2 linked regions of the Saccharomyces cerevisiae S288C genome follow. The gene in region 2 interacts genetically with the main gene of each other region. Each region holds a gene or a part of one and is shown on either strand. Other genes may lie near its edges. The genes, in order: NCR1 and OM14.

The links.
Region 1: mutations in OM14 (region 2) and NCR1 together harm fitness more than expected from each alone (negative genetic interaction), as found in Saccharomyces cerevisiae (2 studies listed by BioGRID).

What each region holds. Positions count from the first base shown.
Region 1 is NC_001148.4:542,784-548,962, reverse strand, and holds NCR1 (sphingolipid transporter), read right to left. Parts: upstream 4,333-6,179; coding exon 820-4,332; downstream 1-819. Other genes in the region: AEP3 (Aep3p), read right to left, coding at 1-477; transcription factor TFIIIC subunit TFC8, read left to right, coding at 5,115-6,179. UniProt on the Saccharomyces cerevisiae protein: Involved in sphingolipid trafficking. May recycle sphingolipids between cellular membranous compartments.
Region 2 is NC_001134.8:679,049-682,054, forward strand, and holds OM14 (Om14p), read right to left. Parts: upstream 1,003-3,006; coding exon 992-1,002; intron 895-991; coding exon 501-894; downstream 1-500. Other genes in the region: glucan 1,3-alpha-glucosidase ROT2, read right to left, coding at 1-173; COQ21 (Coq21p), read left to right, coding at 1,314-1,514.

The sequences.
Region 1 (6,179 bases), on a different chromosome or scaffold from region 2:
ACTAAACTTAAGAAACTTACGAGTGAAGCGTTCTGGCCCTGAATTCTTCTCATTCGATGTGCAATCTATCAGTAGCGTCAATAGTTCTCTAGTAAACTCTTGAGACTTTGCTGTAAGAAGTTTCTGGAATTTATTCGAGGAATTCGTTTGTTTAGAGAACATATACATTCGTTTTGCACGTTCCTCATCATAGTCATCCCTAATTTGTTTCCTAGAAAGCGTTAAAGTCGGCAGGCTTGAAAGGTATTCCTTAACTTGCTCCCTTTCATACTTCACACCATGCCGTACTATTTTTTTTGCCTCTCCATTAACTGACGTTGATGTTGGGCTATCTATTATTTTTTCATCAACTTTCTTGACATTTGCAATTGGTATACCCTCTCTGAACAGGCCTGGAAATATTACTTTCTGATATAGTTTTGGAGCTTCTCTCCCACTTTTGGATAGTGCTTGTGTCAAACACCTTAATGTATTCATAAATATACTAAATGGCTAAGGATGCCCAAGAGTGCCAGAAGATGCCAGAACAAAATCACCCCGAAGTAATCGGTTTTAGTTCTTTTGGCCTTTCCTCTTTTGAAGTTCTGTGTGCGAAAATGACGATTTTCGCCCGAAACCAATAATACTTTTATGACACTATTAAAGATTAAATATAGTAGAAGTATCTAACTTCAATGCACGATAACAACGAAGCCTGTGTTAGTGTTATCATTTCTGACTCGAAAAATTTTCCCACAGATTTTCTGGTGTGGCATCAGAATAATTAACGAATTTTTACCTATTTTTTCACTACGTAAAATATAGTATAATCTGCTATGGCTAATCTTCTGCTTCGATGGAATCGTCCCTATAGCTTTCACCACCAAACAATGAAAGTAAAGCAGGTAAAAATAGGAGAGCATGCAATGCTGCTACAATGATTAGTGTAAACCACATTCTAAAGTAAAATACATCAAATATTTTCGATTGGGCGAATGCAAGTACACAAACTCCAATGAATTTGGTTAGAGTTATACCTTTGATGACGGACTCACCTATGGTATTCAAGGAATAGAGAACTCTTGAGTTTGCGTCTTTCTTGGTTTCACTGGGGACCACTGTAAATGATCTAACAATATGAACACAAAACTCGACACCCAAACCGACACAAATAATTAAATTGACTAAACTGACAGCGTTGAGTGAGATACCTAGTAGGGCCATCAAAGCACCAATATCTACGATAATCATGGTAACGACCAAAGCCAGTAAGAATGAGCTGCGTATATTCTGCAAGAAAACAGATGAAATGAAAAAAATTAGGATAATGGCACTCCCTATTAGCTTCAACGTCAATGGTCCCAAAGTTTGATATTGAACAAAAAAAATGTAAAACGGCGAGTATGCAAACATATCTAGTTCGGGGAAAGAACTTGATATCCTAACTCCATCACTATACGCCTGGATAAAGTCCTTTTGGGATCTCAAAGGATGATGAGCTGTTCTGAAAACTGACGCAGACACACTCGTTTCATTATAAACTAACGCAGTCGAATATGGCGCACGACCACCTAGAGGGCAGGGGTCACTAGGCGCATTAATCCATATGCTTAGGTATTCCATGAAGTCCTTGCCCTCAGGAAACCCTGACATGTTGTAATTCCAAGAACCCTGCTGGAAACAAGTTTCACAACGTCTACTTGGAAAAGAGGGAGGACAAACCTCATCTGTTCCCTTCTTTAATCTACAACACTGGTCGTTTTGAGGATTTAAAAACATGAAATAATCGTCCAGCCAATTAGCCAATGGCTCCGTAATTGTTGACCTGTGTCTTTCTTGCTCCAGTACATTAGCTAATGAGTCTCTTTCGCAAGTTGTAAATTTACCACATATTTTCTGTTGGTTTTGTCTTTTAGTCAAATCTAAATTCTTCACGACCATGTAAACCGGTGGTCCTACGTTTAGGAAGCTATAAACATCCTTAAAATAGTCAACCAGGTAGGAATCCTGTGGAACAGCCAATGTTTGATCTAGCCCAAATTGAATTTCTGGTAAGAAAACCAGAGATGTGAAAAACCAAGCCGAGAAGATAATGATTATGAGCCTCTTTTGCGTTAACATCTTAAAATAAAACGTTTTCAAAAATGATTCCTTAGTTTCTTCATTTCCGGTAATTTGTTTATAATTGGATCTCTTTTCGTAGAGAGACAAAATGGACACATACGCTGTTAGCTGTAATACTCCGTTGAATATAACAGAAACTGTGGAATATATAGCAAAATTATGGACAGCTGGCATTGTAACAAATGCAGCTATCAAGAAGCATCCGGTTTGACATAGCAATGACATTAAAATGGAAGGAGACATTCTCCCGATAGCGCTTATTATTTTTTGATCAATTGAATACTCCGGTTTTTGCTCGCAATTTCTATCATACTCATGTGTAATCAAGAAAATATTATCTATTCCTATTGCTAAAATTAGAAACGGTATTACTTCTGCTATGATCAATGTCGACTTCAAACCAAAAAGAGTTAAAAATCCGGCTGCACAAACAATAGAAGCCAAAACTATGAGTAAACCAGATATTCCAAGTAACAACCTAGTTTTCCCATCCTTTCTCCTCAAGGCCCATGTAGCATATAAAAACATCATCAGGTATGATATTGCAACGGTCGAGATATCATTATTATTATTAAGCTCTTTTTCCAAGGATATTTCGGTATTAAAACTGATCCTCAGGCCCTCGGGGACCTTTAAATCCAATAAATACTCTTCCAATCTTTCTTCCCAGCGATTAGCTGATTGAGTGTGGTTGGTCAATAGAAGTGTTACAACAAACGCATGCGCATTGAGAATATCATCGTCACTGAAAAGAAGATTAGTTTTTAGAGGTTGCTGGAAAGTAGGTAGACAGTTTACAGGAAATTTCCCACATTCCTGCAGTTCCCTTTTCCAGCTATCCTTGTTTGGTAAGGCCCCCTGAAAATACTGAGTAAAAGACTCTATTACGCATGTAGAATCTTCTGTTGGTCTGAAGCAGAGATCTTGGTATCCAATATTTTCTGACGATTGTAGCTCTTCCGTAATAAAATTTTCAACGTCAAACCACCAGTGAAGTGTCTCATATGATAACACAGGGCCTGTCTCATTCACAACAAATATTTGCTCTGTCCTGTAAAATGGCCCAAAATTATCATCGAAGTACTCTTTTTCTTTGAATTTTTCAGAATTTTTACTCACCCACAAATTAATTGGATCTGTTTCAAGAGTAGCGTACTGAAATATGATGAAACTGAATACAAAGATACTAAAAACAGTGGTTATTAATATCTTGTAGGGGTTTTCAACGGAAAATTGTCCCACTTTCGTAAATAGGTTAGCGAGTTTACCATTAAAAAAGTTAGTTTCATTATTGAAACTTTCGAATACATTCGTCTCTGATTCATCTAAGGAACCTGATTCTGGAACAATATCGTCGTCCACAATCATTGCCCCGTTTTTTTTTCTTTTACAGAGATAATACCACATAAATGCAAAAAGTGCACAGATTGTGTAAAAGATCAGAACAGAAAGGGAAAAACATGGCAGAGGGCCAACTTTACACACGCCATCTTTTAAAGGTTTTAAATGGGGGCAAGACTCTTGACAATCAGAACACGCACATTTATATTGAGCATCATCGCAAGCATAAACCTCATCATTAAATTCCTGCCATTCTTTTTCTTCATTTGCTAAATCATACTTGTAATTAATCTGAAAGGGGGATCCACCAAGCATAGGTTTAGCATCCCCCAAAAACTTCAAGAATTGACTGTAATTTTTAGCACCACCTCCGATTAGGTCCATCGCATAACCGTTGGTAGCAGAAAATTTAATATTCTTACATGAGTCATAAAATTCAGATGCCCAAGACGAATTCATGAAAACGTCTAATTCCGCAACAATATCTTTATCTTCTTTTGACTTTTCTACCTTGGTAATATTGACAAACCTTCCTTGGTCAGCAGCGCAAGTGAAGTGACAGAACAGGTTATTAAAATTCTTGAGGCATGCTGGGCATGAGGAAATTAAAGGTTGAGCCTTTTGTAGGTTATCTCTCAGTGCTACCACTTGATCTTTAGTACAGCAGGCATAACGGACCTCTTTCCACTCTTCACCACAAACTTCAACCAAAAGTTTGCTTGTTTCATCTGAAAGAACAGGAGGTTCAAAACTACGTGGCACAGGGCAAGGTAATTCGTTTCCAAATACTGACTTTTTCCCACAGTTCCCATACATGGCACAGGTAGCTGTTCCCTGAACGAGCCGCATCAGCTGGCCAACTAGTGCTATAATCCATAGCACATTCATGGTTTTACTAATTGAAGTTCTGCTCTTGTTCTTTTTGGAGATGAATTTAGTTATCTTCTACACAAGAACGTTGTTATACTGGTTGTTGATGTTCCTCTCGTTTGGCACTCCCGCTATATAAACGCTAAGGGGGTCACCCGAGAAGTTCAAGGCTCTTTATCAGAATATCGCAAATAATCTTTAGTACTGTAGGTAATGGGCTAGCGCCATCCAGAAGTCTAGTTTAATTGCCAAAAAGTGGCGCTCTTGATGTTAGTGATGGGAAGAGAATATCTTGACTACTCTATCGTTCGGTAATAGTTAATTACTGGGATGCGCTTAAATGATTATACAAGTTATTTATGTCGACGACTGCCTGTAGAAAAACAATGTAGCGAATACCTGCATAGCAGTTCAATAATAGGAGAGAATCATTGCGTATATATTACGAAATACCACAACTGCAACACATTTATGTAAGATTAAATTGTTGCTTACATCTGTTGTGACATTAGCCACGGTATGCAATTAGCTGAATGATTTATTTCAATAAAAAAGGAAATAGACCTTCCCAAAGATAATCCAACTTCCCAGCATTTGCTTTTGAAGTTTTGCTTCGTATTGGAAGGCTTTAAATGGCGTATTTCTTCCGTCATTTCGCACCTTAAGTGTATTCTGTTTCTTACGCGCAACGCACTTTTCTCAATAATGAGATCTAAACAATGATTAGACAGAATTATATATAATGAAAAAAGCAGCATGACTAACTTTGTTAGGAGTTAGGAAAGCCAATTCAATTCATAATGAAGCTTCTAAAGGACTTATTGGTAGATAGAAAGGAATTTGAGGATTGGAAGAACAATTTAACATGGGCTCGGGATGGTACTCTATATTTGACCACATTTCCTGATATTAGCATTGGGCAGCCAAAATATGCTAAAGACATTAATTGCAACAGTAAGAATTTATTTCATGTGAAAGAATTCCCGCTAGAATTTGAAAATAAACTGGATTTCGAGCTGGCGCAACAGAATGGGTTATTAAATTCACAACCTGTTTGTTATCCCAGAGTCTGTAAGCCATCACCAATAGACGATTGGATGGCCGTATTGAGCAATAATGGTAATGTTTCTGTGTTCAAAGATAACAAAATGCTCACAAATCTCGATTCAAAAGGAAACTTAAGTAGCAGAACCTACCATTGTTTTGAATGGAATCCTATTGAATCATCAATCGTGGTTGGTAATGAAGACGGTGAGCTTCAATTCTTTAGCATTCGCAAAAATTCAGAAAATACTCCAGAATTTTATTTTGAGAGTAGTATTAGATTAAGTGACGCAGGCTCAAAAGACTGGGTCACTCATATAGTATGGTACGAAGACGTTCTTGTAGCGGCGCTTTCAAACAATTCTGTATTTTCAATGACAGTTTCTGCTTCCTCTCATCAACCCGTTTCTAGAATGATACAAAATGCTTCGAGAAGAAAAATTACTGATTTAAAGATAGTGGATTATAAGGTGGTTTTAACTTGTCCCGGATATGTGCATAAGATAGATTTAAAAAATTATTCAATTTCTAGCTTGAAAACAGGATCTCTCGAAAATTTTCATATAATCCCATTGAATCATGAGAAAGAGAGCACGATATTATTGATGTCCAATAAGACTAGTTATAAAGTTTTACTAGAAGACGAACTTCATGTGACGGCTGATAATATTATCGCGCCTTACTTAGAGAAGAAATTCAAGAAATGGAGCACAATTTGGAATGAATTCAATAATTATGAAACAACTCTTGTCATACACGGAATATCTCTCTCTCCAGACGGCTATTCAATAGCCATAGTATACGATATGGAACGGGTGGCT
Region 2 (3,006 bases):
TCGGCGTCCACTTTGTAATAGCAGTGATGAGATTTGGCAATATTTTCTGCATAAACCCTGTTTCTATGGCAAAACCCAGATTGCGCACACTTCTTTAATAGATAGTCGGTAAACGCATGCGAAAAAGCGGTAAAGAAGACCAATTGGCATACGAGCCATTTCAAAAGGACCATGTTGCATACGGTTGATTCGAGACCGCTATTTTAAGATACGCAGAGCAATCAAATAACTCCAAGCAACATGTTCATTGAGTTATAGCTCTCAAGTGCCGTAGTGAGAAAATGTCGTGGTCCGGGTAAAACAAATTAAGGGTACTTGAAATGAAAAAAGAATGATAGTAGACAGAAAAGCTATTATATTATAGAAACTTATCACTTGACCGATGAAGAGGAAAGCACGTTTCCTTACAAATAAATCAGCAGTAATAGTTATAAAAATATATGTATATAAAGTGTGTGAGTGTGTGAGTGTGTGAAAGGATGTTATTAAATAGTATGTTATTATTTCTTGTCGTATCTGGAGTAGTATTTCTTTGAAATTATACCGTCCAGCGTCAAAAGACCCAGAGCGCCGGCGGTTGTTGCTAAGACTGTAGAGTTAGGTTTCCCCTTCAAGAATCTGGCGTTGTGGTTCGCATACCCGTTACATAAATAACATACCACTGAAGAATGCAGCAACAAGTTGACCAAGACAACGGGATTCTGAAGTTCTAAAAAGCATACTTTGGCAAAGTCTTGCGTCTTACTGACAAAAGCTTGGAGGTAGCCGCAAGCGACTGCTGATGCACTATTTAACCGTGCCTTCAGATATTCGATAGCGCATTCCTTCTTATTGTTGTGGTGGTGACCGTCTTCAGAGTCAGAATTTGGGCTAGCGTTACTGTCGTGTTTAGCACTGGGGAAAAGAAAGATGGTCATAGATGATATACGTTAGTCAAAAGAGAACCGGGAGAAAAGATTAGGCGATACGTTTCAGATATTAGTGTACATACGTTGCAGACATATTATGAGATGCTGGAGGTAGATGTTATGTTTCTAATTGTTGGAATAGGGTTACGTCGGCGGTTTCGGTTGAAGTGGGCACATTGATCGACACTTTATATACGCAGGGACGATTAACGGGAGAGGAGGTAGCGGCGGCGTCATTGGCCGCTGGCCCGGGGTAGTAGGGCAGGGAAAGGGGACGGTGAAAAAATAAAACGTAAGTGGGACAGCAGAGATTTGAGGAGTTGAGGCAAGAACAGAGGAGAGAACGAGAAAGCGGATAAGCAACAAAGGAAAAGGAAACAAGTAAAAAAAAAAAAAGAGACTAGCATGAGAAACGAATTATACCAGTTATGGTGTGTGGCGAGTGCAGCAAGAGGGGTAGCCAAGAGCTCATTCGTAAGGGCCAATTCGGCCATGTGTGAGTACGTGCGCACGTCCAACGTCTTGAGTCGCTGGACTCGGGACAGGCAATGGGAAGCAGCTAAGGCCCTATCACAACGGGTCAAGAAAGAGTATGCCGCCAATTAGTGCACACACATACATATATTTTATATACTTACATATTTGGTTGCGTGGTATATAGAATCTCTCCTTTCGCTTCATGAATGAACTCATTCATGCGAAGTCAAAGGAAAAAAAAAATAAAAAAATAAAAGAGCGAACGGGAAGACGAGAGAAACATCAAGCGACCAAAGTAAAAGTCAAGAACGACTCCACAAGTGCGAGGGTCGCGACGTCTCTAACTTTAAAAACAGGCGTCAACCATCAAGTCCGTTTCTTGATGCCGCCGGCATTCTTCAAATCCCTCCAAAAAAAACGCCTCTATGACATAGGCGGTTAATAAAACTGGCCTTGAAACAACAGATGCAGTCATGGCTCTTCTCTTTTCCCAGCAAACGCCTTCCATTGCCTCCTTTTTTTCTCTTCCAGAACTCTCTCAGCAGTATTCTCACAAACACATCTCCTCCCCTTTAGCAAACCTCCATTTATATCCTGCGAGAAGAGCTCCTTCTCCTCAATGAGAAAATAAGCACAAAATAAACTGGGAAAAAAAATATAGTAAAAGACGCCAGCACGTTAACAATGGAACACTCTTATTGTAGACCAACCCCACCCTACACCCCCTCAAACCGAGGACACTTCAAAAGGAAAATCAACAACTTTGGCCGATACTTGGGGGATAAGCAAGCTTATCCTATTACATCAAAAAAAGAATCGTAAGACACCTTTCCTTGCAAACCAAAAATCATAACAAAGTCGAAAAACTTCCTCTTGCAGCGCCACCAGAAAAAGAAGACGAGCGAAGAAATCAACAATAAGAGCGCCCCATCCGCACTAGCACCCCATACCATAAATATTATCTCCCAACCTACTATAGCACCATTTCTTCCCATCGATAAAGAAAAACCAAATCCCGCGTTGGACATAAACGGCTCGGAAAGACAGGGAAGAGTATGAAGCAAAAAGCCAAACTAAGGGAGAAACAGAAAGCTAAAAAAAAGAAAATAGAAAACAACCAGAAGAAAACAAAAACAATAACCTTGAGCAACCGTCGTCTCAAAAACCAATTTCGAAAAACCATCATAAAAACGCCTTATGAAGAAACCATGAGCGAAGAAAAATAGCAGCAAAAAGTAGTGAGACCTGACATTAGCGGAAAACAACTTGCTTAAAAAGTCTCTTCCCGTCCATTTTATTATTTTGGGTGCCAAAAAATGTGTATTGTAACAAATTAAAAGGTAATGAGCCTCATTGAGGTCATTTCAGTTGTTACACTGAAAAGAACAGATACTACACTTGATCTAAGCCAAAAGGCAAAGAGATTCGTGGGGATTTAAAAAAAAAACAAGTAGAAACAAAATGAATAAATCTGATAACAAGTAAAGTACTCATCGATGAAAAAATGAATGTAGAGCCCTTTTTATATGTTTTCACCGAGTGGCCCATCGGAAACGGCAAAAAAAAAAAAAGAAAGAAAAAAGAAAAGAAACATAGAGCGTTGCTAGGTTTTTTTTGCCAC